Coturnix japonica: one gene and its partners. The main gene of each other region encodes a partner of the protein of the gene in region 4 in a complex. Links are inferred from orthologs where the notes say so. Each region holds a gene or a part of one and is shown on either strand. Other genes may lie near its edges.

What was found.
Region 1: POLR2E (region 4) and TAF1A share a complex: the UniProt entries of both Homo sapiens proteins name them as parts of the pol I pre-initiation complex. The link is inferred for Coturnix japonica from reciprocal best matches to the Homo sapiens genes POLR2E and TAF1A.
Region 2: POLR2E (region 4) and ASDURF share a complex: the UniProt entries of both Homo sapiens proteins name them as parts of the PAQosome complex. The link is inferred for Coturnix japonica from reciprocal best matches to the Homo sapiens genes POLR2E and ASDURF.
Region 3: POLR2E (region 4) and WDR92 share a complex: the UniProt entries of both Homo sapiens proteins name them as parts of the PAQosome complex. The link is inferred for Coturnix japonica from reciprocal best matches to the Homo sapiens genes POLR2E and DNAAF10.
Region 5: POLR2E (region 4) and GTF2A1 share a complex: the UniProt entries of both Homo sapiens proteins name them as parts of the TBP-based Pol II pre-initiation complex. The link is inferred for Coturnix japonica from reciprocal best matches to the Homo sapiens genes POLR2E and GTF2A1.
Region 6: POLR2E (region 4) and RUVBL1 share a complex: the UniProt entries of both Homo sapiens proteins name them as parts of the PAQosome complex. The link is inferred for Coturnix japonica from reciprocal best matches to the Homo sapiens genes POLR2E and RUVBL1.
Region 7: POLR2E (region 4) and PDRG1 share a complex: the UniProt entries of both Homo sapiens proteins name them as parts of the PAQosome complex. The link is inferred for Coturnix japonica from reciprocal best matches to the Homo sapiens genes POLR2E and PDRG1.

What each region holds. Positions count from the first base shown.
Region 1 is NC_029518.1:15,717,994-15,722,193, forward strand, and holds the start of TAF1A (TATA box-binding protein-associated factor RNA polymerase I subunit A), read left to right. Parts: upstream 1-1,400; 5' UTR 1,401-1,530; coding exon 1,531-1,609; intron 1,610-1,904; coding exon 1,905-2,074; intron 2,075-2,457; coding exon 2,458-2,571; intron 2,572-3,936; coding exon 3,937-4,135; intron 4,136-4,200. UniProt on the Homo sapiens protein: Component of the transcription factor SL1/TIF-IB complex, which is involved in the assembly of the PIC (pre-initiation complex) during RNA polymerase I-dependent transcription.
Region 2 is NC_029522.1:4,422,936-4,426,878, reverse strand, and holds the start of ASDURF (ASNSD1 upstream open reading frame protein), read left to right. Parts: upstream 1-1,143; 5' UTR 1,144-1,210; coding exon 1,211-1,273; intron 1,274-3,150; coding exon 3,151-3,204; intron 3,205-3,738; coding exon 3,739-3,814; intron 3,815-3,943.
Region 3 is NC_029518.1:373,108-377,208, forward strand, and holds the start of WDR92 (WD repeat-containing protein 92), read left to right. Parts: upstream 1-1,301; 5' UTR 1,302-1,331; coding exon 1,332-1,520; intron 1,521-1,604; coding exon 1,605-1,705; intron 1,706-1,775; coding exon 1,776-1,906; intron 1,907-2,216; coding exon 2,217-2,318; intron 2,319-2,912; coding exon 2,913-3,028; intron 3,029-3,214; coding exon 3,215-3,349; intron 3,350-3,434; coding exon 3,435-3,532; intron 3,533-3,781; coding exon 3,782-3,989; 3' UTR 3,990-4,101. Other genes in the region: RNA-binding protein PNO1, read right to left, coding at 173-233, 466-549, 841-990, 1,065-1,235. UniProt on the Homo sapiens protein: Key assembly factor specifically required for the stability of axonemal dynein heavy chains in cytoplasm.
Region 4 is NC_029543.1:2,009,030-2,013,147, reverse strand, and holds the start of POLR2E (DNA-directed RNA polymerases I, II, and III subunit RPABC1), read left to right. Parts: upstream 1-1,318; 5' UTR 1,319-1,397; coding exon 1,398-1,454; intron 1,455-1,527; coding exon 1,528-1,702; intron 1,703-2,391; coding exon 2,392-2,507; intron 2,508-2,779; coding exon 2,780-2,860; intron 2,861-3,007; coding exon 3,008-3,066; intron 3,067-3,216; coding exon 3,217-3,295; exon of another isoform or gene 3,296-3,543; coding exon 3,544-3,609; 3' UTR 3,610-3,622; intron 3,623-3,899; 3' UTR 3,900-4,118. UniProt on the Homo sapiens protein: DNA-dependent RNA polymerase catalyzes the transcription of DNA into RNA using the four ribonucleoside triphosphates as substrates.
Region 5 is NC_029520.1:37,077,882-37,082,160, reverse strand, and holds the start of GTF2A1 (transcription initiation factor IIA subunit 1), read left to right. Parts: upstream 1-1,479; 5' UTR 1,480-1,732; coding exon 1,733-1,762; intron 1,763-4,279. UniProt on the Homo sapiens protein: TFIIA is a component of the transcription machinery of RNA polymerase II and plays an important role in transcriptional activation. TFIIA in a complex with TBP mediates transcriptional activity.
Region 6 is NC_029527.1:7,146,614-7,150,776, forward strand, and holds the start of RUVBL1 (ruvB-like 1), read left to right. Parts: upstream 1-1,363; 5' UTR 1,364-1,614; intron 1,615-2,458; 5' UTR 2,459-2,497; coding exon 2,498-2,545; intron 2,546-3,196; coding exon 3,197-3,329; intron 3,330-4,163. UniProt on the Homo sapiens protein: Possesses single-stranded DNA-stimulated ATPase and ATP-dependent DNA helicase (3' to 5') activity; hexamerization is thought to be critical for ATP hydrolysis and adjacent subunits in the ring-like structure contribute to the ATPase activity.
Region 7 is NC_029535.1:8,958,169-8,961,521, reverse strand, and holds PDRG1 (p53 and DNA damage-regulated protein 1), read right to left. Parts: upstream 2,009-3,353; 5' UTR 1,935-2,008; coding exon 1,851-1,934; intron 1,776-1,850; coding exon 1,700-1,775; intron 1,623-1,699; coding exon 1,548-1,622; intron 1,384-1,547; coding exon 1,303-1,383; intron 912-1,302; coding exon 829-911; 3' UTR 501-828; downstream 1-500. UniProt on the Homo sapiens protein: May play a role in chaperone-mediated protein folding.

The DNA of each region.
Region 1 (4,200 bases), on a different chromosome or scaffold from region 4:
GCATTAATCTCCTTGTGACTTCATTCCCAGCCTGGTCTCCAGCTCCACTTGCTCGTGAAGGCAGAGCTGTTTAACGCTGTCAGTATAAGGTTATCAAGCATTGAAAGACCAAGATAAAAGTTAGCGGTGTCTGTAGTCGTAAAGACAAGGGCAAGAAAGGGAGATGTGAAGAGAAACAGCATTACATACTTCTTGCATTAGCCATCGTTTTTATTGTGCAATAATGAGTACCTTGCAGTCAATAGGTGTACATGACTTTCATCACTACAACCATGCAGCATTCCCTACATCTTCAATTACTTCATTCCAACAATGTACACACAGCTTCTTCTAAACAAATTTAGGACTTTAAGAAGTAAATTGGGCCAAGCGGGATAGTGAAAGTAGGATACTGATGTAATGAGAACAGAGATGTTGTGGGATGTAACACCACACTTTGTTAACAACAGTGAGACATCCATAGGAGGGACAAACTGTAAAGGATAGACAAAGAAGATATCATTGGTAAAGAACCAATTTAACCAATTTAATCATCCCCACATGGCACAGTTTTTATGGAAAAAATGAGAAACCAGAACCAAGCAACCAACAGGAGGACAGGCTGAGGGAGTTGGGTTTGTTCAGCCTAGAGAAGAGAAGGTTGCGGGGTGACCTCATTGCAGCCTTTCAATACCTGAAGGGAACTTACTCCCAGGAGGGGAGTAAACTCTTCGAAAGGGCTGACAATAGCAGGACATGGGGAAATGGTTTTAAGTTAAGAGGGAAGATTTAGGTTGGATGTTAGGGGGAAGTTCTTCACTAGGAGAGTGGTTAGGCCCTGGAACAGGCTGCCCAGGGAGGTTGTGGATGCCCCGTCCTTGGAGGTGTTCAAGGCCAGGTTGGACGGGGCCCTGGGCAACCTGATCTAGTAAAGGTGTATGTTTGGTGGCCCTGCCAGGCAGGGGGGTTGGAATTACATGATCCTTGAGGTCCCTTCCAACCCGGGTCATTATGTGATTCTGTGAACAGTGGAACCAACTTGCATTCTTACTTGGAAAACATCCCAAAGAACCCCAATGCGGTCAGCAGCTGAAAGAATGAGTGAAACAAGTTCTACCACAAAGCTGTATGCAACACTGTGTAGTCAATGCAGACAGATCCCTAAAATCCAGGTACCCTGTGAAAGCACGGGCACTATTATTACTCTACAGCACAGATTTGGATTCAGAGTCATGGGCAGATTGTGGTGATACAAGAGAGAATGGCTATAAATGAAAAGAGAGAGGATTTAGGCCAGATGTGAGGAGGCAATTCTTTATTCATTGGGCGGTGAAGCCCTGGCACTGCCCACGGGAGCTGTGGTGCCCCATCCCCGGCGAGTACACCCATCCCGCTGCCCTCAGCGCGCAGGCGCACTAGACGTTCCGCTCCCAACATGGCCGCCGCTCTGCGTCTCGTCTTACAGAGCGCATGCGCTTTCTCTCGGCCTTCTCCTCTCCGGCAGCCGAGGTGTAGCCGTGCCTTGCCGCTCCGGTCGCTCTCTGCGTGGCCATGGAGGGTCTCCGGGCGGGGAGCGCCCTGCAGCCGGCTCTGTATCTGCCCTTGCTGCCAAGGAACCTCTACCGAGCAGGTAAGGACGAGGCTGCGCTGTGGGAGCCCCTCACGGCCGGTCTGCCTGCCTCCCCCCCTCACTGAGGCGAGCTGGGGAATCCAGCTGCTCCATGTTTCCAGTCTCGTTCGCCCCTGTAGAAAATAGGCGTGCTCAGCTTCTAAACCACGTAGCTTGCCATCATCCTATGTAGTGGCTGAGAGAGCTCCTGTAAGAGAGATAACTGAAATAACGCTGAAATAGCAGGCAGTTTGTTATCTGGTTAACGCTCTGTTTGCTGAGTTTAGCTGACTTCTTCGTGTTTTGCTTTGTTTAGCGTCTTCCAAAGAGCACAGGTTAAGCTTCTGGAAGAGCAAGGAGCTGTGTTTGAATTACATCCAGGATGCGCTACTACAGAAGCAGTGGAAGAGAGCTGCGGAGTTCCTGACCTCCTACATAGAGTCACTGGAGAAAGACTTCTCCACAGTATTCATGGGGCCTGCAGAGGTGAGCTGCTGGCCCTTAGCACTGTTCTGCAGCTGAAAGAATACTTGCCTATAACACTTCAGGGCTATTATTTTCTTTAACTGTCCATAAGCTTAATTATGAAACAAATACAGATTTCATAAGCTTTGCTCATGTGCCATATTTGTTATGAGAAGTTGTGAAGCGCCCATGGAATGTCAGTTTAAAAAGAAGAAACAATGGGACACTGATATGTGTGTAACTGTAACAGTAGACAATGTTATACTCGTTTTTTATTTGCGGTGCAAAAGTACATTTTATTCACATGTTACAGTAGCTGTAGGCTTGATAAGATTGTATATATGGTGACTGCTCCCATTTTCATACTGAGATTTTTTGCATCTTTTTTTTCCCCAAATCAACAGATGATTTGGAGACTAGGATCAGAAATCCTGTTCAATTATTCCCACAGAAACATGAGAGAGTTCAACTCTTTCATTGAACAAATGAAAACTTTAGCAATAAAAAGGCATTTGAAGGTGAGTGTACTTAACGCTGTCTTAATGGTTTTCCCACACATTCACCTCAACATCTATTTGAGTGTTACTGTTTCTGAAAGCTCTCTTGAAATGTTACAATAGTGTCAAAAAAGATAGTGTAGCTGAGTTAATAGTTGCAAGATGTTTCAGGGGCTGTTCCATGGCTAGCCGCGTCTTATTTGGTCGATACATTTTTATCTGCTTGCAGTAACTCTTAGATTCTTTAATTGCTCTTAAAACTGTTAGATTCATTTTCATACATTCCCCATTAACATCTAATTACATGTTAAGACCTGTGAAGTCTTGTGTTCAGTCCTTAATTTGACCCCTGTGCTCCTGGTCAAACAGTTGTAGTTAAACTTCACTTGCTTTTCAAGTAGCTAATTTGTATATAAAATAGTAAAGCTTATTCTGTGAACACCTGTATCATTCAGAACCCCAGTTCTTTTCCTATGGTAACTTATTCAAGCTTATATTGTTTTGATTTCCTTGACTGTTTTTGATTCCAGATTTTTCTATCTTTTAATCTATTGTATTTGTTCAAGGTCTCCAACACTAGTTCCATACAAGAGTTTACTAACTAAAAGTTTGGACTCTCATCCAATGCCTAATCAATATGATCGTGTAGTAGGGCATTCCTTTTTCAGGTTTTTGGCAGTTGCATAGCAAATTGAAACTCGGTGTAACCCTAAATTCAGGTCACTTCTAGCTCTTCTAAAATAGATTCAGCGTTTACTAACGGTAAGCAAGGTTTTGAGCCATGTGCTTTCAGCTGCCTTGATAATAATTACAGCTGAACGTTTACTACCTTATTGATGGTTCTCACCCACACAGATTTCAAGAACCCTTTAATAATCTTTCTTCACCATCTTCAAACTGGAAAAAAATACTTAAGTTCTTACTGGAATAGGCTCCCCAAGGGAGGTGGTTGAATCTCCATCCCTGGATGTGTTTAAGAGCTGTTTGGATGTGGTGCTCAGGGATATGATTTAGCAGAGGGATTTTAGAGTTAGGGTACTGTGGTTAGGCTGCAGTTGGACTTAATGATCTTCAAGGTTTTTTCCAACCTGGGTATGATTCTATGATTCTTGGTGCACACTTCAGTCTCCTATTGACACTCGCCTTCTCCCACACTTGGTTTTTATTGTCAAAGCTCTCTATGAATACACTGTTTGAATAAAACAATACCTGTAAAACCTGCTTCGAATAGAAATATTTTGCATGTTTGCTTTTTTATTTATTTATTTTTTTATGTCAGTAATGAGTGTCTCTTCCCTTTCACTTCCATGCAGGTGTTTACTATATTATTGAGATTCTTTCTATTTATGATGTGAAACACTGTGGTATGGACTGCTTGAATTGCAGGTTTGTTTAGAGCATGCCTTTCATCTCCTATGTAATGGACTGATAGATGAAGCCTACCAAAACCTGTCCCTGGCAGAGAGTTGGAGGTTTGGAGAAAAAACAGCTGTTCAGGATAAAGAAATGAAGCTGATTCAGGCTTACAGGGGGCTGCTGGACTACTATATCTGGTCCAATCAGAAGAACATACTGTTAGAGCATGGTAAGTCCAAATACTGCTTTTGTATTGAGCTGTAAACTTCTTATTCTTGCAGGCATTGCTGTTTG
Region 2 (3,943 bases), on a different chromosome or scaffold from region 4:
ACTGTACACTTACCAATTTCACTTGCACATGAAGAAATAGCAAGTTGGACCTTGCCGTGTATCAGCCCGTCCAGACGCTCTCCATGCCTTTCCACACAGTGGATTTACAGCAGTCTCCTTCCTTCACTGAGGGCTACACAGGCTGGACGTGCAGCATTTCTGTTCTACTCATAATGTCAGCACTGTCTCACACGATGTGTCGTACTCTTTTAGTCCTACTGTTTAAGTGTATTTTGGAACAGCCAGGTTGAGCCGTCTCATCTCATTGATTCTGTTTCCACACCAAGAAGACACACTGCTACTTGCATCCTAAGCTAAAGCACTACTACTACTTGGAAGATGGCACAGAAGGATGAAGCATTCACTTATCATCTTTGGTTAATGTAGCAAGACAGATAATGAAGGTTCCAACAGAATCATAGAATGACCCGGGTTGGAAGGGACCTCAAGGATCATGTAGTTCCAACCCCCCTGCCTGGCAGGGCCACCAAACATACACCTTTACTAGATCAGGTTGCCCAGGGCCCCGTCCAACCTGGCCTTGAACACCTCCAAGGACGGGGCATCCACAACCTCCCTGGGCAACCTGTTCCAGGGCCTAACCACTCTCCTAGTGAAGAACTTCCCCCTAACATCCAACCTAAATCTTCCCTCTTTTAACTTAAAACCATTTCCCCGTGTCCTGCTATTATCAGCCCTTTCGAAGAGTTTACTCCCCTCCTGGCAGTAAGTTCCCTTCAGGTACTGAAAGGCTGCAATGAGGTCACCCCGCAACCTTCTCTTCTCCAGGCTGAACAAACCCAACTCCCTCAGCCTGTCCTCATAGGGGAGGTGCTCCAGCCCCCTGATCATCTTCCTGTCCCTCCTCTGGACCCTTTCCAAAATCTCCATGTCTTTTTTGTACTGAGGGCTCCACACCTGGACACAGCACAACAGATGAGTAGAGCTCAAGCAGGGGACTAACGGGAAATGTCTCCATGAATCAAAATACTATCAAAGATCCGACAACAAGGCAGCCGGTACTGAAGGAAAATGGTCTCATTGCTCCACAGCCACTACGGCCATAACTCCACCTCAGCCATACGCGCCTAACAGCCGCTCTGCTGTACGCATGCGCAGTCGCTGCAGTTGTTTGGAGCCCACAGCGTGAGGCGCAGCCGTTGTGCGTATATTGCTGTGCGACGGCAGCGGCCGGCACTGCGAGCTGGGGATGTCGCGGCGGGAGGAGGAGGAGAGCGCCGAGCTGGGCCGTAAGGAGGAGCTGAGCCGGAGGGTGAGTTATGGAGGGTCTGAGGTGCTGCCCTGCGTCTCATAGTTGTGTGTGGGAAGGAGGAGGGTGTGCTGGAGGCTGAGCTGCGCTGTGGCCCAGGTGAAGGTGTGGGGGAGCTCGAGTGTTGTGAGCCCTTCTGGCGAGTTCCCTTCCCGTTTTTAGTGTTGTGAGATGGGCTGTGTGTGATTAGTCGAAGGAGAATGTGGTTCTCTGGGTTTGTTGAGCAAGTCGTGAGGGAGTTTAGTGAGGAGGCCAGCTTTAAAGCTGGGCTTTTCGTAGTGGCAGTCTTGTCTTTGTTCAGTGTGAGTTCTGTACAGTCCTGGTCAGTTGTCCTCGCATAAAAAGTGACTTTATTCTTCTACACTAATATCGCAATAGATTAGTGTTGTTCTCTAGTTGATTGGTTACATAAGAGACTAAAGAGAGCAACTGCATCAGCACAACACAGCGTATTAGCTGCGTGGCTGAAATGCCTGGTTCTGCTTTGCATCACAAGACTGCACTGTGTTCTTGTCTGTTTCAATAACTATCATAGTATGCTGTTGTAGCTGTTGGTGAAACAGCATTTTCTCAGTTCAGTTTGCCTTATACAGCCCTGTAGTTATTTCCATCTGCGCCAATTCCAGGAGGCAGAAAGGAGGACCGGAGTAAGGTGTGTTCTGTGCTTACAGAAAGTAGTGTGTGTTGAACCACTTTAGCTTTGTGTTTCAGCTTTTTTGATGGGCCCTGATTGCTCTTTGTCTTTAATGGCTCTTTGTCTTTAGTGGCTGACGTTGTCCAGGGAAGCAGGAGCATTGGACTGTTTGTGTCAGTGCAGCTGAACTGATGGCGGTAGATGCAGCATGACAACTTTGTGCTAAAAGTCCAGTGTACTGGAAGTGTTTCTAATTATCTTAATACAGTTTTGGGGTTGTTTTATACATATTTATTTATTTGGGGGGGGGGGGGGGGGTTATTGGTTATGTAGGTTTTTAATTGTTTCATTTACTGTTTTCATTTTGAATCTGGAGAATAAGATTATAAAGTGTATTGTGTAGGTAAATCTTTTCTCTAAGTTGCGTAATCACAGAATTATCAAGGTTGGAAAAGACCTAGAAGATCATCTAGTCCAACCGTTACCAATACTTCCCAGCTAAATCATATTCATCAACACAACATCCAGACGTTTCTTGAACACTCCCATGGTCGGTGACTCCACCACCTCCCTGGGCAGTGCATTCCAATGCCTGACTACCCTTTCTGAGAAGTAATACTTCCTAATGTTCAGCCTGAATCTCCCCTGGCACAGCTTAAAACCATTCCCTCTAGTTCTGTCATCTCTTACATGAGAGAAGAGGCCAACCCCCAGCTCACTACAACCTCCCTTCAGGAAGTTATAGAGAGCTATAAGGTCTCCCCTGAGCCTCCTCTTCTCCAGGCTGACAAATGTTAATAGTTGTTTATACGTTTGTTTTTTTGGGGGAGGTTGAGGGTGAAGTGATTTTGGATTCTGAGCAGCGAGGAGTACTCTGGCTTCCCAGTAATGACTGCTTTGGGGGGATGGGAACAGTGTCAACCATGCAAGATAATTCCCTTCCAAAGCAGTTATTTAGAGTGCTTCATTGTCTTATTGTTGAATTCATAACTTAGATTTCAATAAGAAGTGTGTTAAATGTAATTCAGTTATGTGGTCCGAAGACTTGTTGTATGCTTGGAATAATGGGTAATGAAATTTCTTTTTCATTCCTGTGTCCACTTTCATTTTAGTGGTCTGTTCAGGGCACAGTGACTTATATTTTTATAGCTGTCTTAAAAACATGGGTAAAGATTTTAATCTCCAGGACTGCAACACAGTAGTTTATTGTTGACAATTATATTGAGATGTGTTTTTTCTCTTTCAGATTAAGGAACAGAAGGTTGTAGTTGATGAGCTTTCGAATTTGAAGAAGAACAGGGTAAGCATTAAAGTTTTTTCTGCTTACTTCATTTTAGCATCAGATAAATTTGTATAGAGGCAAGAGGGCAAACAAAATTGCAGTGAGTACATTATCTTTAGTTGTTACACTAAAGATTTTAATGTGTATATGATCTTCTGTATGGTGTCAAAATGTTGTCTACATCGCTTGAGGGTTTACTTACACTTGTGCATTGTAACAGGAAGCTGTCTCAAGGTTTTACTTTAGCACAATTTTTATATTATGATGTTTGAGTGGATCAGTTTATGTTAAAAGCTTCTTTATTTTTCATGTGCATATGATGTAAAACAAAATATGACCCTTTAAGTATGAGGAAAGGAGGAAAATGCAGAATGGTTGTGGGTTGTTCCTGAAATGTTTTGGTGCGACATGAGGACATTGCTCATGGCAGAGAAGGTATCTTTCAGACATAAAAGGGAAGGGTATCTCAGTGGACTTCAGTGAGTTTCTGCTGCAGTGTGGTTGCCTGTGTATGCTACTTTTACTTAATGTGGTGTTGTATTTATTTTACAGAAAGTTTATAGGCAGCAACCCAATAGCAACATATTCTTCCTTGTAGACCGAACAGAAACACTGTCTCAATGCAAAAGTAAGTTTGCTGCACCAAAGGTAATAGTTCAACTGTTTAAAAGCTGTCTCTGTAGCTGTTGAAGATTTCCAAGTTGTAGTACAGTGGGAAAGCTGGCAACTGCATGTTAAATACCAAGTGGACTTCAGT
Region 3 (4,101 bases), on a different chromosome or scaffold from region 4:
AGATGCTGCTCTCCTTGTGTCCAGCTCCAGGTTCTCCCCATAGACAGTTATGCCATGTATTGGCATCGGGGTTTTCCTGATCCCCAAAGTGACACACGTGGAAAAGAAGGAAAGAGCAAAGAAGTGCTCAGAAGTGAATGGCTGCTTGAGTAGCACAGCAGAAACTACTCACCATCCGTAACTTCAAATGATTCCAGGAAGAGATCATCTAATCTGATGAGAGCGAGAGCGTCCTGCAACATTCAGAGTCACCATCAGCCTGAGCACTGCAGCACTGTCACACACAAGTTCTTTACAGGCCCAAACAGATCAAATCAGTCACGTATCTCCATTTGACGCATCAAACATCAGTTTTAACTTCAAACATTAAAGAAAACCACCCTGAAGTTTTCTGTTTCTTGATGTCATGTCCAGAGTGCTTGAAGATATTGAGCAATAGCACAACCCGGCCGCTGGGAGACTCACCTCCACCTGGAAGCCGAGTATGAAGGCTTTGACAAAGTCAGCTGCTTTGGTCAGAGCACTGAGGTCTTTGGTCTCAGCACAGGTCTGCAGAACGAGAAGATACGTTTCTATGTTATCAGGCAAACGGAATCAGGACTTGGAAAGTCAGTGAGATAAAGGCTGGCTGTATAAAAGAAAGCCAAAGCCACGTTCGTGTAATGCCACCTCCGCATTGTGTTCTACTGAAAGCGCAGACCAGTAGTGTATGTTGTGCTTAAGACAACAGGCTGCCCAGAGAGCTGTGGGTGCCTTGGAGGTGCCCAAGGCCCGGTTGGGCGGGTTTCAATGAAACACGAGGGATGAGAGGAACGTGAGGACACACAGCACAGCGCTCACCTTGATCTCCACGTTCCTGGTCTTTAAGTTAAACCTGATCTGGAGCTGCAGGTGCTCCACGATGGGCGTGAATATCTTCATCCAGTTCTCCTTCAGCGGCGTGTACCTGTTGGCCGGTACCGGCACCTTCCTCACCTCCCCTTTCCCCACCTGCGGACAGATGGGCGCTGAGCGGACACGTGCAGCCCGTCCGCCCCATCCCTCCGCCTCGGCGCCGCGCTCACCCCCATGGCCGCGGCGGGCAGCGGTGGGAAGGCGGGTCTCTTGCTGGGCTGCGGCCCCGCCGCATCCACCGCCTCCATCGGCTCCGCAGCCGCCGCTCTCCGCTTCCTCCTGCCGCGCTTGGAAGCCACGCTGGTGAAGCCGCTCCCGTTCTCATCCGCTTCAGACTCCATAGCGTGGCCCTCCGCCGGAAAAGCCACCGCCACTTCCTGCCCGTCCCGCCGTCCCTTCCGCTTCCTGCGTTATCCGCGTCGCTGCCGTCGCTCGTTATGTCGGCGGCGGGGCTGGACCGGCCGCAGGTGGTGGTTCACGTGCAGCAGCCGCTGACTTACACCGTGTTCGACTGCAAGTGGGTGCCGCGCAGCGCCCGCCTGCTGTGCCTCGGCAGCGCCCCGCGAGGCACCGGCCTCATCCAGCTGTACGAGCTGCGAGCCGGGCGGCTGCTGCTGCTGAGCGAGGTGAGCGGGGCGATGCGGGGCGGCACCTCGTAGGCCGAGGGGTTTAACGCTTCATACGGTGCCGACCGTGTCCTTTATCTGCAGATCGAAAAGGCCAAACCGATAAAATGTGCCACCTTCGGGGCAGCCTCCCTGCAGCAACGGCACCTGGCGACAGGGGACTTCGCGGGATGCCTCAGCATCTGGTGGGTGTGTGATTCCTTACAGCGCTCCTGGCTACTGAAGGCAACGCTGTGTTATCTGTTTCTCACATAGGAACTTAGAAGCTCCTGAAGTCCCCGTGTACTCCGTGAAAGGTCACAAGGAAATCATTAACTGCATCGATGGGGTCGGAGGCCTCGGAATTGGGGAAGGTGCCCCAGAAATTGTGACAGGCAGCCGGGATGGTGAGTGGGAGAGAGCTGAGCTGCTCAGTGACATCCCTGAACTACAGGCTGTGGGCACCGAAATGGAGGGCGGCCCTTTGGGATGAGCCTCCTCTGCTTCCTTTGGGAGCTGGAGAGGAGGAACATAAAGCAGAACAAATACAAAATAGCAGCTAGACATCTTATACTTTCCCTGTGCTTTTCTGTTTGTATTATGTTTCATTTCTTCCTATACACTGACATAGTCTGGAGGCGTCAGGCTGCCTTTCCCTGGGAAACCAAGAGTGGTGCATCAGTGCATCTGTAACACTGATGGCTTTGCTTTCCTTAGGAACTGTGAAGGTGTGGGACCCTCGGCAGAAGGAAACTCCTGTTGCCAACATGGAACCTGCGCAGGGAGAGAGCAAGAGGGACTGCTGGACGGTGGCCTTTGGTAACCAGTCTGATAACAGCCCCCTGTAATGTCACTGCGTGTTGACAGTAATCAAACCACTGAAGGCAGGGTTTGTTGTTCGGTGTTATCACATCTGTGTCTTTGCACTGTGTTTTAAAGGCTGTCTTTCCATCACGTTTGGTGGTAGTTGGCTCAGGCATTGTTTTCTTACCATCTCTGCTCAATCACTTCACAGACAAGCTTTATTCTTAGGCATTTTTACAGCCCTAGTGTGGGAATTGAACATTTCTATGTCTAGGAATGTAAAAGCAAAGAAACCACTTTGCCCTGGAGGGGTCTAACTGTGATTGTGCATGGAGAACCAATATCTGCTGATGACATTAAGACATTAATGTAAGAGACAATCCCCAGAGCTAACGAAAGACAGCAGAGATGCTTAACTTGTGCTCTTGAATTCAGGATGCTTGAGCCCAGGCCATGTCCATCCCAAACTCTGTGCTCTCAATTCATTAAATCCTACTATATGATGCTTTGCTGGCATAAATCTAAGTTGAAATTGCTGACTTAAGAGGTCTCAAATTTACAGCCTAAGAGGGGTTTCTGTGTTGTGATCAATTCTGTCTCTGTGTCCAGGCAATGCTTACAATCAAGAGGAACGTGTAGTATGTGCTGGATACGACAATGGGGACATTAAGTTGTTTGACTTAAAAGCCATGTCACTGCGATGGGAGACCAACATTAAGAACGGGGTAAGGTGCTGTGGAAGCAGGGCTTCATTCCAGCTGTGGTGTGTGTCTGTTTACAGGCAATCGCGTTATTGCCGAGTTGGTGAAGCTGTTGTAAGAATAACCAATGATTAGATACGTGTCTGCAAATCACACTCACAAATATATGCTTGTAGCAGTGGCTGAACGTATTGGTTTCACTCTTTGCAGGTTTGCAGTGTGGAGTTTGACAGGAAAGATGTGAACATGAACAAGCTGGTGGCCACGTCACTGGAGGGAAAATTCCATGTCTTCGATATGAGGACTCAGCACCCAACTAAAGGTTTTGCTTCTGTTTCAGAGAAGGTAATGGGGAGATGGATCATTCCTTTAGCAACATGTAGTACAGGAGTTTGTACAGAACTTTTGTCCAATGCTGGTTGTTTCCTAGGCACACAAATCCACCATCTGGCAGGTTCGGCACCTCCCGCAGAACAGGGATGTGTTTATGACGAGCGGAGGAGCTGGGAGCCTTCATCTCTGGAAATAGTAAGTGATCACTGTCTGCTCTATAACAGGGGAATAAGGAACCAAAACAACTGTTTATTGTTTAAAGAAAGAATCATTGTAAAGATGGTGCGTGGGGACTCACTTCCAAGCTCAGATATGATGGATATGATGGCTCGCTATTTTGAAGACATTTGTCTTATCTTGAGAACAGAGGAGACCTTTCTGTGCTGTCTTTTAAGAGCAGGATGAGATTCCTGTTTGTCTCAGTTTTCCTTTCCTTTCTGCCAGCGAGTACCCGGCTCAGCGCTCAAAGAAGGACTCGGAAGGAGCTGAGATGGGGGTGGCAGGTTCTGTCAGCCTCTTGCAGAACGTGACTCTGTCAACACAGCCCATTTCCAGCCTGGACTGGAGCCCCGACAAAAAGGGGCTGTGTGTTTGTGGTGCCTTTGACCAAACTGTGAGGGTACTGATAGTTACTAAGCTTAACAAAGTGTGACAGGAAAACTGGGATTGCTGATGAGAAAGCAATACAGTTTGACGTCTGTACATACGGGAGGGAGGGACCTATTGTCTTTAATCTAATTTCTCCCTTTTTAGAACTGGATTAA
Region 4 (4,118 bases):
ACAGCGGGTGGGCGCCGTCCCCATTGACCTCAATTTTACTGAACATATCGAACTTCACCCCGTAACCCTCCGCAAAGGCTTTGATCTGTGCATCATCCCCAGGCTCCTGGGGGGGGGGAAAAACAGGTATCACACGTGTAAACCCCACACAACCCCATATCTTTGCATTGAGGTGCCCACCTGCTTCCCAAACTGGTTACATGGGAAGGCCAATATGCGCAGCCCTTTCTCAGCGTATCGTGCGTGCAGGTCGACAAGCTGAGTGTAATTCACTGCAGTCTTTCCTCATTTGGAAGCCACGTTGGTGATGATGCAGACGAAACCCCTGGAGGGGTAAAATAGGGGGTAAAAGGAACCTCTGTGGGGGTAAATGGGGTAAAATAGGGGGTAAAAGGAACCTCTGTGGGGGTAAATGGGGTAAAATAGGGGGTAAAAGAAACCTCTGTGGGGGTAAATGGGGTAGAATAGGGGGTAAAAGGAACCTCTGTGGGGGTAAATGGGGTAAAAGGAATCTCTGTGGGGGTAATATGGGGAAAATAGGGGGTAAAGGGGGTGAAATAGGGGGTAAAAGGAACCTCTGTGGGGGTAAAAGGGGTAATATGGGGTAAAATATGGGGTAATATGGGGTAAAATAGGGGGTAAAAGGGGTGAAATAGGGGGTAAAAATGGGGTAAAATGGGGTAAAATAGGGGGTAAAAGGAACCTCTGCGGGGGTAAAATGGGGGGGGGGGTATATAATACAGCCCATTGCTGTGTTGCTGTATGGTACATATAATGTCTCTATAATGTCTATATAATGTCTATATAATATATATATCTAATAGACCTGTATTGCTCCAAGGCCACGTCTCGGCCGTCGATATCCGTGGCGTGGAAGTCATAGATGGAGGTGGCCGATCGCCATTCATCCGCCTGCGCGCACTGCGGGGCCCAGCGGTCACAAAGCGGCTCCGAACCCCCCCAACCCCCCCAGTACCGACCCGGTTCGGTTCGGTTCGGTTCTGTTCTGTCCCCCCCCACTCACCATTGTCCGCCCCGCTCCTCTCGCCGCCGCCGCCCCGCACAGCAGCGCCCGCCCGCAACGCCACCCCCACCCCATCCCGCCACCGCTCTCCCCCCCTTTGACCAATCAGCGATTAGGACGCGCGAAGGCACCGCCCACTTCTTGCAGTTGCGCAATGCGAGCCGCTCCCTTGGGTGATAGACAGGCGAAACCACCAATCAAATCAGCGAGGCTGCTGCAGTGTCAACAAGGGGGTGGTGTCCTTCCGCCATTCCACCCCGCCTACATCTCCCAGCGTTCCCCGCGGTCAAGGACCCCTCGCAGGGCAGCCCCGCCTGCTCGTTGTGGACAGGCATTGAGGCGGGCAGCCTCGTGGGGTCCTTCAGGAGGCAACATGGACGACGAGGAGGAGACGTACCGGCTGTGGAAGATCCGCAAGACCATCATGCAGGTGCGGGCCGGCCCGGTTCGGTTCGGTTCGATTCGGTCCGGTTTCAGGTCTCATATGTTGTATTTCCCTTTAGCTGTGCCATGACCGCGGTTACCTGGTGACTCAGGACGAGTTGGATCAGACGTTGGAGGAGTTTAAAGCTCAGTTCGGGGATAAACCCAGCGAAGGCCGCCCGCGCCGAACGGACCTGACCGTGTTGGTGGCACATAACGATGATCCCACGGACCAGATGTTCGTGTTCTTCCCCGGTGAGAAACGGGGCCGGGTCGGAACCGGGTCAGAAACGGGCTGGGACCGGGTTGGGACTGGGTTAGAACTGGGTTAGGACCAGGTTAGGACCGGGTTGGGACTGGGCTGGGTCTGGGTTAGAACCGGGCTGGGACCGGGTTTGGACCAGGTTGGGACCAGCTTAGAACCGGGCTGGAACCAGGTTAGAACTGGGTTGGGACTGGGCTGGGACCGGCTTAGAACCAGGTTGGAACCGGGTTAGGATCAGGTTAGAATTGGGTTAGAACCGGGCTGGGACCGGGTCAGAACGAGGTTGGGACCGGGTTAGGACTGGGTTAGAACTGGGCTGGGACCGCGTTAGGACCAGGTAGGGACCGGGTTAGAACCGGGCTGGGACCGGGTTAGAACTGGGTTAGAACCAGGTTAGGACCGGGCTGGGACCGGGTTAGAACCGGGTTGGGACTGGGTTAGAACCGGGCTGGGACCAGGTTTGGACCAGGTTGGGACCAGCTTAGAACCGGGCTGGGACCGGGTTAGGACCGGGCTGGAACCGGGTTAGAACTGGGTTGGGACTGGGCTGGGACTGGCTTAGAACCGAGCTGGGACCGGGTTAGTACTGGGCTGGGACCAGGTTAGAACTGGGCTGGGGTCAGGTTGGGGTCTGGTGGTGCTCCTGGTTCAATCTCACCCTGCTCTTTTCCTCCCTCAGAGGAACCCAAAGTCGGCATTAAAACCATCAAGATGTATTGCCAGCGCATGCAGGAGGAGAACATCACGCGGGCTCTGATCGTGGTGCAGCAGGGAATGACCCCATCGGCAAAGCAGGTACAGTGTGATGTGGCCCCGGGGCTCTTTGAGCTGTGCTGGGTCCATAAAGGCAGAGTTCAGGCTCTGTGCCTTAATACTGGGCTTATACATTGAGTGCACTGAGCTGGTGCTGGTTGGGCACAGAGATCTGTTTCCTCTCTGCCCATATGACCATATCAATGTGAGCACAGACACCGTGTTGCCCTCCTGCTGCTGTTCATCTTGGGGCATCTCTGAGCTCACACTGTCTCATATCAGTGCTACAACCTGATGTGCTTCTCCCTTCCCAGTCCTTGGTCGATATGGCTCCCAAATACATCCTGGAGCAGTTCTTACAGCAGGAGCTCCTGATCAACATCACAGAACACGAGGTGAGTGATTCAGGCCGGCCCTCCCAGCCCTGCCCTGTGCTGGGTTTCCCCACCAGAGCTTTGTTCCTCCCCCCAAGTCTTGCAGCTATGCAGAGCTGGTTGCTTTCTCAGACTCTTATGATCTCTCTTTCTCTCTCCTGTTTACAGCTGGTCCCAGAGCACGTTGTCATGACAAAAGAAGAAGTAACCGAGCTGCTGGCCAGATAGTATCCTTTGTTTGGTCCTTCCCTTGCAGTCAGGGTGTGATGAGTGCTTGTCTTGGGCAAGAAATGGATTCCTTTGAGTGTGTGATGTTCTGTTAGCTGTGCCCTGCCTCAGGACAAGCAGACACAGAGCTCCTCCTTGACTCCATGCAGTAAGCTGAGGGAGAACCAACTCCCCAGGATCCAGGCTGGGGATCCTGTGGCCCGATACTTCGGGATAAAGCGAGGCCAGGTAAGAGCAAATAGCCTGATAACAAACAGCAGGGCCCTGCAGGCAGGATGGGGAGCTGCAGCACAGTGTGTCAGAGCTTGGAGATGGGAAAGGTTTCCTCTTTGTTAGTGTTTTTGTTTCTGAACGTTATGGGTTATGTAGAGATGTGTGCAAGGCAGCAGATAGCCCTGGGGCCAGGCTTGGCTTCCTGCTGAACCAGCTGCTGTAACACCAGCCATCCCCCATTGCTCCTTTTGCTGCCCTTCCAGGTGGTGAAGATCATAAGACCGAGTGAGACCGCAGGCCGTTACATCACCTACAGGCTGGTGCAGTGATCAGAGCTCTCAGGTAATGTGTGAGATCCCCATCTACGGGCAGTGCTTTAAACTTATGCTGTGGTTTTCTAGGGGTGACTTGAAGTGAGTTGGCTCTGGGAAAGGATTCCCTCCTGATTTGCGAAGGGAACTGTATGGGATGGATCAGAGCAAAGCTATACTAGGGTTTGGTGCCTCAGTATCACAGCTGAAGGCACATCTCAATGTTCAGAGCAGCAGCAGGGCTTTGCTTTGAGAGCAGCTGCTGAGGGAGACATGAGCTCATTCACGTCCTGACTTATTTCTTCCAGTTGTGAAAGAATTCTGTGACATCTGATCTTCCCACCCACCACCAGCTCTCAGCTGTCTGCATTCGATGGCTGAGGAAGTTCTCTGTCCCTGCTGCCCCCCTGCAGTTGTTTTCCTTGTCCCAGTTCCTCATTTCCCAGCACGGATTTTGCTGCAAATCCTTCTGCTTCAATCAGGAACGCCATGAAAACACCTCGAAGCAACTGAATGACACAGGGAAG
Region 5 (4,279 bases), on a different chromosome or scaffold from region 4:
GCCTTTTTATTGGAGATGTCAGGGTGAAGTAACACTAGCACCTCAATTCCTGCTGCTCATTCAATACACCTAAGGTTAGCTCACGAGCTACGGATACCAACTCTCATCACTCCTGTTGGTTGTGCTGTGGCAGTGGAAAATTCCAAGAAGGAAATGTATAATTAACAGCAGAGGATGGTAAAACTCTGTCCCATGTAATTTTTGTTGGAGCTCCAGCAGTATGTGCCATGAACAGTGGAGCTGGTTCATCAGCTGGTCCACTGTAAATCAATCACGTGCCTATAAAAGCTCTGCCTGTCAGAAGGGAAAGGAGGTGCTCGCTACCACAGAACTAAAGCATTTAGAAGTATGGAATGTGAAGGTCTCCTGTATCCACTAACAAATTAATTCTGGTCTTAGGCTACCAGACAGGAGTTTGTAAACATGTTGCTTGGTCTAGCTAGTAGGTGGGACTTCTGAATGAAGGTAACGTGTCAAATATGGTCTGTAGGGCATGTTGGGTTTTTTATTGTTGTTTGTTTTTGTTTTCTGTGGAGATTGATGTAACATAATACCTTGAGCATAGAGCTGGAATTCAGTGTTGCTTTTAATTTATGTTCGAGCAGGTCTTATACAGGTGGGTTACTGCTGGAGCTCTAAGCTGTATTCAGAAGTTATCCTAAGGGCTTGGTGAAGGTGGCAGCAGGGAAGTTAACTGATGGAAGGATCCTCGTAGTTGAGAATGCTTTCCTGTATTACATGCATCTTGCAGATTGCCATGGAGAAAGGGGATAAGCAAAGGGAATGGAAAAGGACGAAAAGGCAATTAAAAGGGCAAAAATGGAAGCCAAGCCAAACGGTACAGCCAGGAATTCTCAGTGCCACAGATTTTGTGAGGAACTGCTGAAGAGGCAATTCTGAGAGTGAGGGCCCACGATTCCTGTCACCAGACCAGGTAACAAGAGCTTGAACACTCCGGGACCTGGCTCTTGTAGCAGGGCCAGCTCAAGGCCTGTGACCAGAGGTACCAGCGCCTGCTGGGCCAGGCAGGGCTCTTGCGTACCTGGAACTGCACAGTGAGGGGCTGACACCGAGGAGCAAACCGCTCCTATAGACCGAGCGGACGCGATGTGCGTTCCCATGTCCCTCGCTGGCCTCCGGCTCGCTCCGGGCCGTTATGAGCTGCCGCCTCGCGGTGTGCAGCATCCCGCTGGGCTCATCGCAGCCGGCCGGGCCGCAGAGCAGAGGCGGGCCGCCCCCAGCAGCGCCGTGATTGCGGGCGTCGCACGATGGGACGGACTGAGGCGCAGCGCCCGGCGGGACAGCGCGAAGACTTCCGCCTCGGTACGCCGGGCGGAGCGGCAAGCGGGAGAGCGACCTCCCTGTGTACTTCCGCCTCACTAAGTGTCATGGCGGCGGGGCGGGCTCTTCACGTGACGGCGCCCCGCGCGGCGCGCTCTCGTTCGCTGCTCTCGCGGTATCTGGCCGCCCCCCCGCGCGCGTCCCCCGCTCGGTCTGGCCGCTCGCGCAGCTGCTCGGCTCTCGCTATATAAAGGGGCGAAGCGGGCAGAGCGGGCGGCTGGCGGCGGCGGCTGCAGCCCCAGGGCCGGCGAACGAGGCCGGGCCAGGCCGCGGGGCTGCCCGTGAGCCCGGGCGGGACGTGCGGGCTTAGGGGGGACGCAGCCGGGCAGGTTTATTGTTTTAGGGGCGACTCCCCCCCCCGCGGTTGGGGGCGTCCCGGGGGGCTCGGGACATGGCGAGCTCGACTAACACAAACCCCGTGGTAAGGACCGGGCCGGGGGGCGAGGGGGACCCCGCGGGCGGCGCGGGCGGAGGGGGCCGGCGGGGCTCGCCGCCCCCTCCCCCGCACCCCCGTCCCTCGGGCCGCCCCGGCCCCCTCCCCCCCGGCCCGCGGCGGGAAGGGGCGGCGGGGTCCGGGCCGCTCCCCGCGCGGCGGCGGCAGCAGCAGACAACTTGTGGCGCCCGACGCCGGGGCGGGGAGAGCGCAGCCGGGGGCGGCGGGAGTGGGGCGGCGGGAGCGGAACGGGGGGCGCGGGGCGGCGGCCCGGGGGCGGGCGGCGGACGGAGCCCCGCGGGGAAAAGGCCGGGGCCGCCCGCCGCGGGCCGGGGTCCGGCGGGAAGGGGCGGGCGGGCGGGTCGGGAGGGGGGGGGGGGAGCCGCCCCGGGAAGGAGCGAGCGCCGCCGGCCCCGCGCCCGACCGGGAGCGAGCCGGGTGTCGGGGTGGCGGTGGCCGCGGTGGCGGCGGCAGCCCGGGCTCCGCTGGAGCCATTTTATGTTGCTCGATCGGAAAGAGACGATGGTTGAAAAGCACTTGTCCCAGCCCCGCGGCAGCGGTCCGCCAGGCCCGGCCCGGAACTTTTCTGCAGCGAGCGAGGCAGTATTTATTTTACAAAGAAAACTCTCGCCCCCCTGTGTCCCTTCTCGTGCTTTCTGCACCTTGGCGGGCGGCTCGCTGCGGGACGGCTCGCTCCGGTTCGCAATAAGCAGTCACACGCACGGCCGATCCGATCGCCCCTCGGTCTCCGCTCCGTCCCCGGCGCAACCCCGGCCCCGACCCCCGCCCCGAGCGCCGGCGGCACAAACCCGGCGTCCGGCGGCAGGCGCGGCCCTGCTTGTGGCGCTCGGATCCATCATGGCTTCCCCTGCCTTTCTGCCTGCCCGCTCCTTGTGTTCCTCCTCCCTGCGGCCGCCCTGTTTATATAGAGCCATTGCCGCTCTCTAATATAGACTCTGCTAGGATGGGAAGGTGCTTTCCAGCCCCACGTCACCGCCTCTCCATTTAAACACCACATCAGCCTTTAAATAGGGAGAGAGCCGCCGAGAGCGGGCTGGGAGGTGCGTGCATCGCGGCGGAGGCTGCCGGCCGTGCTTTTTGTCGCTCGGAGCCGGGTTTGTGCTCCTGCCTCGCTCCGCACTCGGGGAGCAGCGGCACTGCCCACGGCTCTCGGTGCTGGGTGGCTGTGCCTTGCACGAAGAGGGCACCGCCATCCTCCCAGCCTTCTGAAAACGCTTACCTTCCCCCCCCATCCCAACCCCCCCCCCCCTTTTTTTTTTTTTAATTTAATTTTTTTTTTTCATTTCTTTTTTTATTTATTAGCGTGTGTATTTTTTTGTCCACAGCATGCAGCTCTCTGTACCCTTATGGTCTTCCATGGAGTTTTGCTGTTTTGCTGCTGGATGGGGAAAGGAGGATTTAGATGTTCTTATCCAGCATGGCAAGGAGAGATGCAGGATTTGTTTCATGGCAGTTGGCCAGTGTCTGGTACAGATCTTATACTGAAAGCAGCATTAATATTGAAGTTCTGTTTATTGGTCCTGGGCACAGATTGTGTGAACGATTGTTGTGTGCTTCTGGTAACTGAAGGTGATGCGGCACACTGATATTTTGGAAGATTTTGGAATTTCTGCTATTATTTGAATTAATTAGAATGTTCTGAGTATTACAGAGAAGTTTACAGAAGGAAATGATACAGAGTTTCCTTTCTAAATCCAAAATCTTACCTGTAACCTGGAGACATGAGAAGCAAGGAAGTAGCATGGCTTTGCTATTTTATCAGCTGTTCTGAAACAAAATGTGGGACAGCAGTGTGCCATTGCATGCAGGTCAGCTGCTGGTAGGATACTTAATGTGTGTGATCCAAATCTGCTAGCTGTTCTGCCCATGACCTGCTGGCTTTCTTTAACTGACAGGAAGGGTTCTTTGTCTCTACAGTAAGTTAGATGTTTCACGTCTCTTTTTCTACCAAGTTATTACCTAATAGGTAAATACATCTTTTTATTGAATAATCATCTTAGCACTTACAAATATCTTTGTTATAACAACTTGCTGAGGCTTATCAGTGCTGCATCTCTGTCCTAGCACAGCACAACTTCTGCTGAAAAGTGCTTGTGTTTGATCACAGTGTTAAGAATAATAGGAACTTAAAATGACCCTGACTCCCATTTTAGGTTGAATCCCAAGGAAACGGTACAATTTTGCAGCACTCTGAAAATCAGCTCTATTCTGTAGTAGTGATAACCATATGTACCTCAGAGTTGCAGAAGATGAGCAAGAATGTGTGGAAGTACTGCAGCCAGCTGGTAACTTCAGCAGGGCAGATTTTGGACCTGGTGTGTCATAGTAAGACATCAGCATCTAATCAAATCTGTCCTTCCCAGGAAGGGATGCACATACCTTATGTGGTATAAGGTTTTGTAGGTGACAAAGGTAATTACCTTGTAAAGGTGTGACAGGTGTCACATTTAATTGCTTACAGTGTAGCCTGTATGTGCTACTTCT
Region 6 (4,163 bases), on a different chromosome or scaffold from region 4:
TCTTTCAGAGTAGATACAAGGAGAAATTTCTTCTCACTCACTGCCCAGGGAGAGGTACAGACACTATCCCTGGAGGCTGTTCCTTGACAGGCTGAGGGAGTTGGGTTTGTTCAGCCTAGAGAAGAGAAGGTTGCGGGGTGACCTCATTGCAGCCTTTCAATACCTGAAGGGAACTTACTCCCAGGAGGGGAGTAAACTCTTCGAAAGGGCTGATAATAGCAGGACACGGGGAAACGGTTTTAAGTTAAAAGAGGGAAGATTTAGATTGGATGTTAGGGGGAAGTTCTTTACTAGGAGAGTGGTTCGGCCCTGGAACAGGCTGCCCAGGGAGGTTGTGGATGCCCCGTCCTTGGAGGTGTTCAAGACCAGGTTGGACGGGGCCCTGGGCAACCTGATCGCCTAGTAAACGCGTTGGTGATCAGATTTGGTGGCCGCTTCAGCTCAGGCGAGGGGGGTTGGAACTACAATGAATCCTTAGAGGTCCCTCCAACCCGGCCGTCATTCTGTCGATTCTGAATTGACGCATACCCAGAACGCCGTGCGCCAGATGTGGTAACTGCAGGGATGGTGGCAATCAGGCCATAGTGCCATGGGTCCGTGGTTGGATATTACGATGAAACACTCATGGCAATCTTTCCAACCTTAACTAATTCCATGAGTCATCTCCTCGCCCAGAATCTACCAACAGAGAAGAACGCACTGGATGGCAGCCAGGCTCTGAAACGCCCTCTGAGATTTCACAGCATTTCCACCCCAAGCACTGATGGACCACATAAGAGGTGCAGTAACACTACAGCAGAGCCCACAGCCATGGTGGTGGGAGATCTGTTACATGAGGGAGCTCTGAGGGTGTGGAGATGAGACACGACCCCCCGAACAACTGTTTTCCCCCCTCAGTTTATCAGTACTCTCGACGTGGGGAGGAGCTGTCCGTCGCTATATTATACTGTTATAAAAAAGGCGAAGTTAAAGGCTCAGATATTGCCGTGGGCACGTAAAACGTAAATAACTGCTGGTTAAAAATTAACCAGCAGTGGTTAAATTAACACACTGGTAAAGGCAGGACGACAGCAAAGCCCACCCAAAGGCTCGGCCCCTGCTCGGTCCCGGCCCATCTCCCCACACCCACCCTCCCCCGCACCTCGCCGCCGCACGCCGGACCGCTTTGAGTCGAGAGCGCAGCCGACGGAATGCGGCGACAGACGGCCCACACACTCTCAAATATGTATCGCCAGGCCCGCCGCTGCAGCTCGTCCGGTGAACAGGTCACGCCTAACCGCAGACACCATCACAACAGCCGCGCGAGGCGCGGCAGACGCAGGGCCAATTGACGAGACGCGCGGGAGCGGGGGAGCCCGAGGAGGCCGCGCGCCGGCGTAGGCCTTGGTAACGCGCGGGCCGCGTGATGCGCGGGTGGACGTGAGGGAGAAGGGAGACCCGTGGCGCCGATGAAGATCGAGGAGGTGAACCGAGCAACCTGCGACAGACGCATCCGCGGCAATCCGCAGCACAACAGCCTGTTAACTGGGCCCTCCGGGGGCTGCGACGAGACGGCGGCACTCCGCCAAACCGGCGGGCCGCCGCGCCTGGTGCGGACAGGAGAACGCGCGGGAGGTGAGAGATGGGCCCCTGCACCTGGCGCACTGCTCGCGGGCTGGCACGGCCGCCGATCATAGAGCGCCAGGCCCGGGCTGTGAGATTCGCCCGTTACTACTCGCTGGATTGTCGGATAAACGATCTACAGGGTTTTAAGGCTCCACTTCAAAGATTGGTGCCCGTGAGGTGGTGCAGGGCCCAGCCAAGTCCGCCTGCTCCGCTCGCGACAGGCCGGGTGGGGGTTTGTCACAGAATGACCCGGGTTGGAAGGGACTGGACTCAAGGATCATGTTTCAACCCCCTGCCGTGGAAGGGCCACGCAAAATCATATATCACCTTTACTAGATCAGGTTGCCCCGCAACAGGTCCGCCGTCAGCAACGCTGGGTCACTTGACAAGCACCTCCAAGGTATGGGGCAGTCCACAACCTCCCTGGGCAGCCTGGTTTCGCAGGGCCCTAACCTGAACTCTCCTAGTGAAGAACTTCCCCCTAACATCCAACCTAAATCTTCCCTCTTTTAACTTCAAACCATTTCCCCGTGTCCTGCTATTATCAGCCCTTTCCAAGAGTTTACTCCCCTCTTGCTCTGTTTTTAGGCTTTGATACCTGCGTGCAGCTCTGCAAGGGGAAAAAGATCCCCAGCTCTTTGGTTTGAGTTCTGTTTGATTTATTTCTTTAATGTGCCAGATACAGGGACTGCAGGAAGTGATTTCTTTCTTACCTCACTCCTATGTATAACATTGAACTGCAGTTTAATTTTGGCACCTCAGAAGATCAGTAGTTCTAAACACTTCTAGTATCACTGGAATTAAATGTATTTTAACAGTACTCTTGTTAATGGTGCCAACCCTTATCCTGCAGGCTTGTGGGGTTATAGTAGAGCTCATCAAAAGCAAGAAGATGGCTGGCAGAGCTGTCCTGTTGGCAGGACCTCCTGGAACTGGCAAGGTATCCTGATATTTTTATTTTCCTTTTCTTGCAAGAAATAAAACCTTCTGAAATCCGCTGTAATTTAACGTGCTGCCACAAGCATTTTAGAATAGCGGTTATATATTGTCTTCATCTGCTGTTGTGTTTTTTTTCCTCCATTAAGGTATTGACACAGTCTCCTGTTTTGTGTTTAATTTTTGCCACGTCATTAGCACTGGCAGCATCCTCTGGTTTGTGCAGCCATCATTAGTGCGAAAGCACCTAATATAGGTTGCCAAACACAGAGGCAGGACAGTTTCTGATTAGTCTTATAAGTTAATTCGATATTAAAAGCCTAAATAGTTATTCTTTTTAGTTGTTTTTCCCTTTCCATCTCATTTCTATAAGATGTTAAATTCAGAAGTCCACTATCATTCCTTTACAGTGTTTATAAGTCATTGGTAGAAGTCACCTTATGCGTGTCTAATTTGTTTTGGTGGGAGATGTTTGTTATATGTGAGAGATGTCAGAGCAGTTATAATATAGTATATATATGTATATATATATATAATACTATAGTATAGTAGTAGTAGTTGATAGAGTGAAGGTGATACGATGAGGAAAGTTAACTTAGTGCAGAAAGAATCCTCATAAAAATGAAATGCTTAATTTCTTTTTCCATTTTTAAAGACTGCCTTGGCTTTAGCTATTGCTCAGGAACTTGGCAGTAAAGTTCCCTTTTGTCCTATGGTTGGAAGTGAGGTCTATTCTACTGAAATCAAGAAAACAGAAGTTCTGATGGAAAACTTCAGACGAGCAATTGGTAAGTTTCAGAAAAACAGAAACGTTTTTATGTGATACTTACATTGTTTTTTCTAGTGATCTGAAAAGGAAAAATCTTGGTGGTCACGGTGGTTTCCAGAACATGATGTGAACTTTTCTTCAATGCTGATCTTAAACTGGGGAATCTCTCCCACACTTAGTAGAGTCAGTAAGGTTTTCTGGATATAAATGCTTGTGTCCCACAGATATTTTTACTTACTCTCCTCCCCCAGGATCTCTTCTTGTCCTCCAGGTTCCACCTCCTGATGCCACCTGTGACACTCCAGAAATCTGAAAGAAAATCTGTTTTTAGTTTCTTACATTAGCAGAAATGCTTATAGACAGCAAAATGCTTTCCCTTGTACTTTAGTGATTCCACCTTGCTGAGCAAGCAGCCTTCTCGAGGGGTTCCCAAGTGGCAGCATTAGCCTGGCTCAGTGTTCCAGTGAGCACAGAGGAAGTTCCATGCCAGCAAAATAAATAATATCTTCAATATCTTCCTCAATTCTAGAGTGCTTTTACAAAGTCAACGTAAATTGGGTAAATTTGCAACGCGACCTCACTAAGTAGTTAAAATCTCTTTTATGATCTCTGCTGACAGCTGATAAATGCGGTTAAAATGGCCCTTGTTTGTGTAAGGATTGCCTAAAGATGACCTAACTGAAAAACTGAACTTATTAACAGTTAATTTCCCTGATTTCTCTGCCGTGTTTCCTCTCTGACTTCATCTGAGTATCTGGGGGTGGTGAAGAGGTCTCTCAGTTCTGCAACCAAGTAAAAGTATTCCATTCATTTTCATAAGAAAAACCTTCAGTAGTCTCTGGTCTAGTTACCA
Region 7 (3,353 bases), on a different chromosome or scaffold from region 4:
CTGTGCATCTCTAACTTAAGCCTGAAGTGGAGAGCAGATGAGCTACCTGGAGAGCCAGAGCTGATTTTATGACCTCTGCCAAAACTATTATGACTTAAATCAGTTATCCCATTGCTACAGGCCAAATCCAGCCTGTTCAAGCTGCAGTTTTTGCTAATATGTGTCCATTTTATTCTTTCATCCTGTTTTGAGAGCCTTATTTTTCTGTATTCTCTTGGCTCCCACCTTGACAGCAGCCTGTGTTTTCCCATTGAGACAAACACGCTGCTGCCTTCTGTTCCTCCCTACGCATCTCTCAGGAGATTCCTGACGTGTTTCAGATGCACGGGTTTCATTTCATTTTAATACCACAGGCACACACAGCTCTTCTATACTCTGGGCACGCTGTACATTTACAATTCCTCCTACTTCTGTTCCTGACACTGCAGTGAACTCGCTCTGCAGCCAAACTACAGAAGCTCTCACATAACAAACCCAACAACAAACACACACACACAGAGTTAGGAATGCCCCACAGTGCTGGTTTTAATAATCCCCCTTGCAGGCGGGTGTTTGTCAGAGGCTGTGAATAAGCCACTGTTCCAGCAGTTGCCTCAGCACTGCTCTGCCACCGGCAGCAAGGAGTGGGGAGAGTTTACAGCCAGAATTACAGCTGAGGAGCTGTATCCTTCCCTGTGCCCACCAGGTTCTTTAGGAGAGGCTCCAGCAATGCAGGAGAGCTGGAAATCCTACAGGCTGTGTCTGATGCAGTGCAAATGCTGTGAGTGATACCCGACCACCGCAGGCTGAGCAGTGCTTGCACACGGTTGTGGTGGTGGCAGGGCTGTCTCAACCTTCCAGGATGCGATTGATCAGTTTCATTTCCTCTGCACTCATGGGGTTCAGGTTAAATCCCTTCAGCTCAGGTTTACCTGTAGGGATGTGCAGAACGTTGGGGTTTTGCTATAAGACACATGAAGCATTCCATGTGAAACCACGCAGCAATGATGGCTCTCAGCATCGTGAAGGTTGGAAAAGAGCCCTGAGATCATGAAACCCAACCCTGCCCACATCCCTCAGTGCCACATCCCTGCGGTGCTGGGATGCCTGCAGGGATGGTGATGGAGAACCAATTGTTCCTACTATCCACCCTGGTCGTTGCTGTGTGTATCCAGCACGCTGCTGGCTGACAGCTTTACCAGGGTAGGGAGGGAATGACAGAGTGAGAGGAGGAGCAGCCCCGGCAGCACTCACACATTGACTTCTCCCCAGCATCTGCAGCCAGACCTTTGCTGTTGGGGTTCAAGACCAGGAGTGTTTTACCTTGAGCTTCAAAGAGACGGTTGACCTTCACACGCAGCTCTTTCCGGAGGTTGTTTATCTCCTCATCCAGCTGTTCCTGATCTGAAAATAGCAGGGCAAGAATAAGGGGGGTTAACCCATGACATGGGGACTGGGGTTGAACAAGGGACCAACAGAGACCCTGCCGGGCTGTGTGAGCAGGGCAGGATGGCAGCATTGCTCTGTTTTAGCTCCGAGCTCCTCGGGGTGAGCAGATCCCTCCGTACCGCTCTGCAGCATCTCCTTGGCCTTGGCCTTGTGCAGCTCGATGAAGGTGCTCCCGAAGCACACCATGGCTTTCCCTGCAGTGAGGACCAGCCGTGCTCAGCGCTGTGCCCCGCACACACCGCCCCGATCCCGGCCGAGCTCCGGGACTCACCGTCCGGCTCCGGGTCTTTAAGCAGCGCCCGCAGCGCCTCGCGGTTCCGGTTCCGCTTCACGTCCAGATCGACGATCTGCAAAGAGACGGGAGGGGATGGGGATAAAGGGGGGGGTCGGGGGTTGTCGGGCCGAACCGGGTCGGGTCTCACCTGCTGCCGTGCGGCCAGCACGTCCTCGGCCAGCTCCTCCACCTCGGCCAGGTAGCGCAGCACAAACGCTGGGTCCCGCGCCATGTCGGGCCGCTCCGCCCCGTCCCATCCCCGCTCCCCGCCGGGCGGCAGCAGCGGCCGCGATCCGGAGTTCCGCGTAGAGCGCCCCCGTGTGGACACTGCGGGAATTGCAGTGTCAATTGCTGACAATAGCAGGACACGGGGAAATGGTTTTGAGTTAAAAGAGGGAAGATTTAGGTTGGATGTTAGGGGGAAGTTCTTCACTAGGAGAGTGGTTAGGGCCTGGAACAGGCTGCCCAGGGAGGTTGTGGATGCCCCGTCCTTGGAGGTGTTCAAGGCCAGGTTGGACGGGGCCATGGGCAACCTGATGTAGTAAAGGTGTATGTTTGGTGGCCCTGCCAGGCAGGGGGGTTGGAACTACATGATCCTTGAGGTCCCTTCCAACCCGGCTCATTCTGTGGTTCTGTATGTGAATCGGCCGGGCAGTGCTGTGGGGCGGCTCTGAAACACGGGGTGAGATTTCAGGGCTCCCCTGGTGGAGCTGAGGGTTGGGTTCAGTCATTGCTTCCATCCTGGGGTGTTCTGTGGTTCTGTGGCTGCCAGGAGCGAAGCTCTTGGTGCGCAAATAATCCCCAGAGGAAGATTAAGCAGATCGGAAGATTACCGGCCTTAATCTCGTAAAGTCGTTTGTGACAGTTAACGGGAGAGATCTCGGTCTGTGGCAGAGTGTGCTGAAAGAAGAAGGTGCCCAGTGAAGTGGTGGAAATGAGCACTGCCCGTCTGCATCCAACCCCGTCCTAGCGGGGACTTGGAGCTCGATGATCCTTGAGGTCCCTTCCACCTCGAGCCATCACATTCTACGTGATAGCAGTAGCAGAGAGAAGCCTGATGTCCACCCCTGAAGCAGGCAGTGCTACTCAGCAGCTCACAGCAAAATAAAGGCTGTGGGTTTACCGTGGCCACACAGAGGGTTGCATGAGAGCTGCAGCTGAGCTGTGGCAGGAGGCATCACAAAGCTTTGGGCACCTGGAAAACATTCCCAAGGCAACGATGGCTGCTGGTGCCATGCTCTGCAGGCCTCTCCCACAGCAGGCCCTGAGCCAGATGCAAATCATCACAGCCTTCCTTCTCCTGGACCCGGCGCCGTAGGAAAGCTGCTTGCCTGGAAGCTGGACTCAGCCTGAAGGCTGGAGGCTCGTTCAGATTGATTGCATGTTTATGTGCCCTCCTGGGAACCTGTCTGTGCAGACAGAGCATGTGGTCATCCACTCGCTGCTATGGGATGGTTTGCATCTGTCTGTATTTTGTGGCGTAAAGGGAAGGTCTGGGTTTCAGCACGTTCCTTTTTCTTTCTTCCTTGAATCACTTTCATTTATGCAGCTCAGAACCCTCCCTGCCTGCCTGCTGACAGCTGCACAGGAAGGCTTCAGGGATGTTTATGGGGTGGGTTTTTTTTCCTTCTCATCTTTCCCTGTGATTGCC